Linked DNA regions of Drosophila melanogaster. Changing the gene in region 2 together with the main gene of any one other region gives a genetic interaction. Each region holds a gene or a part of one and is shown on either strand. Other genes may lie near its edges. The genes, in order: l(1)sc and jumu.

The links.
Region 1: of jumu (region 2) and l(1)sc, changing one enhances a phenotype caused by changing the other (phenotypic enhancement), as found in Drosophila melanogaster (one study listed by BioGRID).

The regions. Positions count from the first base shown.
Region 1 is NC_004354.4:407,625-411,538, reverse strand, and holds l(1)sc (lethal of scute), read right to left. Parts: upstream 1,819-3,914; 5' UTR 1,744-1,818; coding exon 970-1,743; 3' UTR 722-969; downstream 1-721. UniProt on the Drosophila melanogaster protein: AS-C proteins are involved in the determination of the neuronal precursors in the peripheral nervous system and the central nervous system.
Region 2 is NT_033777.3:10,347,998-10,351,926, reverse strand, and holds the start of jumu (jumeau), read right to left. Parts: upstream 1,746-3,929; 5' UTR 1,400-1,745; coding exon 1,340-1,399; intron 1-1,339. Other genes in the region: CG31406 (uncharacterized protein), read right to left, coding at 2,018-2,131, 2,188-2,259, 2,320-2,382, 2,445-2,747, 2,810-3,007.

The DNA.
Region 1 (3,914 bases), on a different chromosome or scaffold from region 2:
GCTAAATAATGGGTGTGGCATCTCCTGCCTAGATGACATTCCTGCATATTCATTTAATGGCCCTAATATTTCACCCTTGGGGTGGGTTTACTTTCCAATTTTTAGCTACGGGGTTAGCGGAAGTGCATTTCACGGCTCGCCGACGTCGTCCAGCTTGATGAAAAACTTTGTGGCGGTGTGCGCCAGCCACGTGGATTGTGCGAGTCTTCAAGTACTGATCCTTGGACTAGGACAATTTCATCCTCTCAGGCGTGACTGCCTATTTCCGGGCTATTTACGCGCCATTAACAATTCCCGGCCGAATTGTAGCTCGTTAGGGAACCAATCATGAAAATATTCGCTGTTGTTTCCTGTCAGGTGCTTAACTCTATGTTGGTTACGAATTTTGAGTGAGTCATGTCCACGCTCCAAAAGTAATTGAATATAAATAATAAATTGGGTAACTTTTTTGTGAAATTATTATTTCTATCGCTAGTACCATTATTAAGCCTGAGGCCAAAACAGCTAAGCTAAAAAATAATAATAATAATATAAAAATACATAAATTAAAAACGAATATCATAACATATATATAGTCAAAGCAATGCTTCAAAATGCAGATTGTTTAAAAACCTTTTTGGCTCTGATGCTGGTATGAGAACGAGAACTCGTTGTAATTACCCTACATGACGATCTGAATATATTTACGAGTAAGTGATTTCAGTAAAAAACATTTGGAATTAAATTTATCAATATGTTTTTATTTTGGCTTAAAAGTAGTTAGTTTAGTGTCTTCCATGCTTATAACAAACTTATAACTATGAAAAAAATATGTCTTCCATTGCGTTAAAATATAATAAAAAAAAATATGGGGTAACTTAGAGGCTAATGTGAAATTTGAGACTTGGTTTTACACTCACTAAGGCAACAATTTAGGGTATTTACAGTTTGTACAATATTTGTTTGTTTGGGACTTTTAGTAAGACCCCTTCACTGCTCTTGCCAAGATGAAATATAATCGAGTAGCTCCTCGTCATCTGGCTGCTCGTCACTGAAGCTATCAAAGGAGTCGAATTTGAGGTCCTGCTCTTGTAGTTCCTGTTTGATATAGCCACCTCCGGAAATCTCGGATCCGGAGTACGACGGCGTGGGCGAGGCGGAGTGGTACGAGTGGGATTGGGCAGACTGGGTGGCTCCCGTCAAGAACTGTTGCGAACTGTCCAAACTATCGTTGTAATCGTTATAGCTGCTGCCATCGTTGCTACTTTCATCGGCGGAATTGTAGATGTGACGAGTTGATGAAGCAGTGCCATCATCAAGCATGTCCTGTAGTCCTCGAATATATTCAACGGCGATTCGCAGTGTGTCCACCTTGGATAACTTCTTGCTGCTACCACGTCCTCCATTGGACAGCGAGTTTACCACAGTTTGAGGCAAATGCTGGCGGAGATTGACGAATCCATTGTTCACCTGCTTCACGCGATTGCGTTCACGGGCATTTCGTCTGGCTACCGATGGCAATTGCTCGCCATAGGGCATGTTATTGTAGTTGAACTTCTTCTTCTGGGAGGACAACATGGGTCCAACATTGGACTGTTGACTCTGCTGCATATTCTGCAGTTGGCTGGTACCCAAAGGTATTTTCGGAGCAATCAACTGGTGCTGCTGCGTTTGATGGTGATGCTGATGTTGCAGCAAGAAAATGTTACTGTTGGTCAGCTGGTAATGCTGCTGCTGGAATTTGCTGCTGCAAATGCTCGTCATGGTAATCCTTGCGAGAGTTTTCTAAGATTTAGTTTACAGATGTTGACTGTGTGGAATCAGATTCCGCAATGATAATTGCTGTTCTGATCTAGGGCTTTAAATACCCGGCAGTGGCAGAGGGAAACGCGCCGCGACAGAGGCAGCGACTTCGGCAGAGGAGCTACAGGGGTTGGTACGGGGTCGGATCCTGGCTACCTGCCCTCGAAAAACCGGGACCTAAGTCCTTTGCACAAGTGATCGTACATTTTTCCTCTCTTTCTAGGGGTTCTTTTTCTGTGGTGGGTGCCTCTATTCCTACTCAGTCTCTGTGTGCCTACCTACCCATCCTTTTCCCTCTCCCACACACTCTTTGTCCTTTGTGTCCGTCTACATAATGCATTTTTTCCTTTTGGGAAAATTTTAAATCTCAGATCTGCAAGATCCTTGTCATGGCTAAAAAAAAAGATTTTGAATGCACTTCCACTTTTGTCGAATGTCGTTTGCATTGAAAGCGAAAAATAAAGGAGAGTGAGATCTTGGAAGGGAATTTGATATAAAATGTGATCCATCAAATGAAAGAAAATGATGCGAAGGCAAAAGAAACAAACTTAAAAGACCATGTCGTGGGACTTTCACTGTCTTTAAAACTGCGTATCCACTTTTATATCCTGTAATGTTATGAACCTTCATTAATATTTTTTCTGACCCATCTGCATTTGACACGTGCTTCCGATCAGTCCGGTGCATTAGCATAAGCTTCAAAACAATGATACATAACATCGCAGAGCGGCGCAGACAAAATCCCACAAGTGTGTGCTGTATCATGAATACCAAGCGTACTATAATAAGTAAGGGGACGGCCAGACAAATAAAAACGAAACCATCACAAAGGCATTGAATATTGACAGCAGTTGGGATCAAAGTTGCAGTCGAAACACTCTTACCCTTTCATCAAACGCTTGTGATACAAGAAAGCGATCTAAATTTGGGCTGTGCACTCGACAAAAAATGTAATATTTCTGACTGGTTAATATATGTCTTGTATGAACAAACAAAAACTGAATTCAATTAATTTGCATAACTCATTAAATCGTATTAAGGCTACGATGCAATTTAAAATATTTTTTTGGGAAAATATTTTGATAGTGTTGCATTATTGAATAAATATTTTCTTTTAAAGATAATTATTTCGTGGAATACTTCTAAAAATCGAATGGCAGTTTTGATTTTAAAGCATGAAGCATTTGTGTTGCTTTAATATCAAGACATCACTCATAATCAGGTTTAGTTCTAAATTATCAAATTAGTATGTCGAAAAGCATTAAAAAAGGTCTTTAAATGTTATTTGACTAGCAAATTAGTATTTCAAAAAGCTTTAAAAAATGTTATGTCTTTATTTATTTGCTGCTTGCTGTAGGGTTGTGACTTATTATGCCCAGTCCAAGAAAGTAAAGTTATTCCGTTTACCAACAATCCCCCTGCAATTAAATTAAGCATTCATAAATCTGTAAGGAGCTGAATCTGAAACAAATTTCTGGATTCGCAACTTGCAACTTTGTTGCAATGGGAAGGCAATACCGTTACCGAAGACGGATAAGTCGAGTTACGAGATTGCTCCCATAAATGCATAAAATCTTAAAAAAAGCCATAAGCAGCTGCCCTAAAGGAGATCAGAAAATTAGAGGAAATTGATCCCACAAGAATGAACGCTGAAAATCATAATAAAGCAAAAAAAAAAAAAAAAAAAAAACACCATTTACCTAATAATTGGTTTTTAAAAGTTGCTACCGAATTCGTTTTCTAATGCATTTATAATATCTAGAATAAAAATCTTTGCGTCATCACCTTTGTATTTCTCTTGGTTCGAAGCAAACCCTTTTCAAATACTCTTTTAATATGCTCCAAACACACCCACCAAAAAATAGGAAAGTAAAAAAGGTTTTGGTTTCAATTTCATAAGCCTCGGACACCATGCCCTATAATGTTCAGTGATTAATTAATCCGCATGAGATCAGAATAGTGTTGATCCCAGTTTCGTTTTTGGGGGACGCAGTAAATATAAAATAGTGAACAACTGGCCAGGGTTGTCAGGTTCATGGTTTCCCAGGTTTCCAATCAGCTAGTGTACCATAAAGTGGCGGTCTCTATATAGTTTCAATCTTCCAATAAGTTGCTGTACAGCGACCTCTATT
Region 2 (3,929 bases):
TGCATGTTGCAAGTAACAGGCGCACGTGTTTTCCCAAGTCCGTTCGTTTGATTTTCTATTGAAAATGTGCAAACTTTGCTGGAGGTCAGTTCCTCTGACGGACTGACAATTTAGGCGGTCAGTTTAGCCCAAACTTCAAAGCCATACCCCCACTTTCTGGCCCAAAATCATTAGCCACTTGGTTGGACTGTGACTAAAACAGATGAAAACCGAGAGATTCGAGGTGAACGCTTGGCCTTCAAAAAGTTTAAAACGCAAAAGCCGAAGAAGAGGCCACCAGACGAAAAACTCAGCGAACCGGCGGAGAAACACACTAAAGTACTCAGCGCATATTGGCGGCCAAGGAAATAGGACTGCAAATTTATTAACCTGTGCTAAACTGTAGAATGTGATAACGTAACTCTACAGTGAATACTCGACCAGAGAAACTCTCTAACATTATACAAGTAAATTTATGCCGAAGAAATAATCCTTTTAGTTAAAAAAAAATCTTTGGTACCTTCTCCTCTCATACTGTGTTATATTATAGAGTTACTCTTTGAAAATGAAGATAAGAAATTCTTAAACCTTATAAATTGCAAGAAATAATATATTATAAGGTGTGCTATTGTTTCATCCGCCGCTGTGTGTGACAGAAAATAAATAAGCCAAATAATTGCGAATGGCTACAACAAAAGAAAGACTTGTGCTGTGTGCGCCAAAGTAAAATACTCCAAGTGTCTTAATAATACAAGTAGAATAATACAGGCAATCCCCTCCCGTGAAAAGTGAATTGATGTCCACAATTAAGTGCAAATAACAGTCGCTTAACAGAGGTGAATTCTGCGGCTAGCCGAGTTAGTAACCCCCAAAATAAACAGCAGACTTCCTCAAACGCAATGGTACTATACTTCCATTATTTTTTATCGGCGCTCCGCTGTTCCGGTTGTAATTAATCATCAATTTTTTGGGCGAAAAAGAAATTTTTCAAAGTTTAACGATCAAATGTAAACACAGACACACACACACACAAACGTTAAACGCGGCGAGGGCGAATTGGCGAGTCAACAACACAGCTTTGGAGCGAGCGAGGCGGGGAATATTTGGCCGCAGGGGCGAGCGAGATGGCGAGTGGAACCAAAGTTTCGCCGCCAAACTGTTCTTGGTGGTGGGTTTTGCTCTTCATGTCGGTATGGGAACAGTTGGGGTGTGGGGAACGTGGAGACCGAACGTTAAATTCAAAAATTGCGCCTGTCTGTGTCTCGGCACATGCGAGTGTATGGGTGCGTGTGGCCGGCCGGCGAAATGTTCGCGAAAAGTTATTATTCTCGCTTAGCTCGCCTTTTTTGTTTCAACTCACCGCATATTTGCTGAAGAATCCCTCATGTATGCCGCTCGAATAATCCTCTAGTTCGAACATGTTGAATCTTTTATGTTTTTAGCATGCACTTTGTTTTGATCGATGTTTCCGCCTGGCGAAGATTTCACCGGAATATCGTCCGCCTCTCTGCTTCTTACTGCCAATTCCAATTAACGGTTCTATTTCGAAACAGCGCACAAAAAATATATTCAGTCTCAACACCGTTGTTCCTTGGCAATCCAAGCCGTGATCTCTGCACTTTTCAAATTCTACTTCCAGCAAAAGGACATGGCGCTCGCGCTCAATATATCGCAGTTATCAGGAGCGCACAACACCGGTCTCGTATTCGAAGTCGCGGAGCAATGATAAAATAAACCCGCCCGGTCAGAATTCGAACGAAAAATGAGAGCGCCCGAGACTGGAGTGACCGTACCTCCGTTTTTGGAAAACGTTGACAATACACGGCACCGCAACCAGTGGCAGGTTGGGAGCTCGGGTAACCATTTAGCCGGGAAACGAACCCTGCGTGTAACGGCTTTTTAAAAGGTAACCTCACTGTTCGGCATTCTTTGTTATTAGGTATTCTTAATTATTTATATTTATATTTTTGCTTATAAAAGCAACTAAAATCAATTTTGAACTTTAAAAACAAAAACAATTAACGCAACGTGATACAAATTATTCGGCTTGATGTTCGATGTGATCTTTTCCAGCTTTTTGAATGTCATTACACTTTTTGGACTTGTGCTCCCTTGTCGACTTCTTTAGGCTTGGTTTCATATTTGGATTTGCCTAAAATTGGAATTTTATAAATACTAATATTATTAGTATCTGTATCTTCATTTTACATTATCGTTTGTCGCTGCTTCTGGAGTTTTGGAAGCCAGTAGTTTTTTATCCTTCTTTAATGTGCTTGTTTTCTAAATATATTATATATTTTATAATATTTTAATATATGCATATCTTTTGATATTTCTTACTTCATTTTCATTCGAATTTTGTGCCTGCAGTTGCTTCCCATCCTTCCTTTTTGTTCCTGTTTTCTAAATATTTTATATTTTGTAATGTTTGAACAAATATTTTTATATCTTTGGATATTTCTTACTTCATTTTCGATAGATTCTTGTGCGTCTAGAAGATTTGCAGCCACCTTGACACACTGACGTGCAGCCGGAAGTTTCTTCACATTTTTCTTGGGCACAGGAGGTCCTTCTTCATTCATTTCATTAGATGCTTGTTCCTCCAAAAGATTTGCAGCCGCGTCGGCGCACGGAAGTGCAGCCTGCAGTTTCTTAACATTCTTCTTGGGTGCAGGAGTTTCTTTGGACCTCGCTGCTTCTGTATTTTGGACTGTGGAACTCAATTTGGAATCCAGTTGCTTTCCATCCTTCCTTTGGGTTCCTGTGTTCTAAATATTTTATATTTTGTAATGTTTGAACAAATATTTATATATCTTTGGATATTTCTTACTTCATTTTCGTTAGGTTCTTGTGCGTCTAGAAGATTTGCAGCCACCTTGACACACTGACGTGCAGTCGGCAATTTCTTAACATTCTTCTTGGGCACAGGAGGTCCTTTGGTCCTCGAAGATTCTGCTAGGATGTTCTGGTCAGATAAGGTCAGCACTTGGTTCTGCTTCTTCGTAGCTGCACTGCGAGTAACCACCATTTTCGGTTCAAAGCTAACGTAGAAAATTCAAAAAATCAAGATAATGGAAATTTGGTGTAGATTCAAGCGAAGTGCAATAAGATGTGGGAATTTCAGTAAAAAGGTAAATAGGTTATTTGGTTAGTGGCGCGACACTAGACAACCAGGCTACTTCCAAACACGAAGTCACAAATTTAAAAATATCTGAAATATTTTTCCCAAAGATATATAACCACTTAATAAACTTATAATAACCACTTAAGTTCAGTCGCAGGAAATAAAGCCCTTAGCTTGCAGTTCATTTATTAAAAATTATAATATTATATATTATAATTATAAAAATTATATATATATATATAGTGACGTATTTGGGTGGTCCAAACCAGCCACTTCCATTATTTCAAAGAAATCAGTAATGCACTCTAGTAATTTTCCATAACGTATCCCAGCTGCGCAGCATTCGTTTATCTTTGGCAGCGCAGCCGTTCTTGTAAACATCCTAAAGCCTGACCTAAGCAGATTTGACTGCCCTCTTTCAACGCTACCTAATCTTAAGAACCCAAGAGCGAGGCTCTCCCGAAATACAAATATTGTTCAAATACTGAGGCTTCTCCTCAATCCAATTTGCATTTGATTTTTAGTCTTAAGCTGAGATCCAAAGAATAAAGTCGTGAAACTATTTCTCCTAAAACTATTTTTTATTTCTTGGCGTTGTCCTTAGTCAACTGACGGGACATTAGTTCGACTCATAAATAAAACAACAATTTTACTGGCGCAGTCGGTAGGATACAAAAGTATCCGAAAAAAAAAGAACCTTCGAGTGGAAAATAAGTTAAATTTTATAGTCCAGTGCTCGAAACATCTCCCAAAATAAATTCGTGAAAACTCTTCAACTTGGATTATAATTCCAATTCGGTTATCCAATAATAAGTGGAAGTGAAAT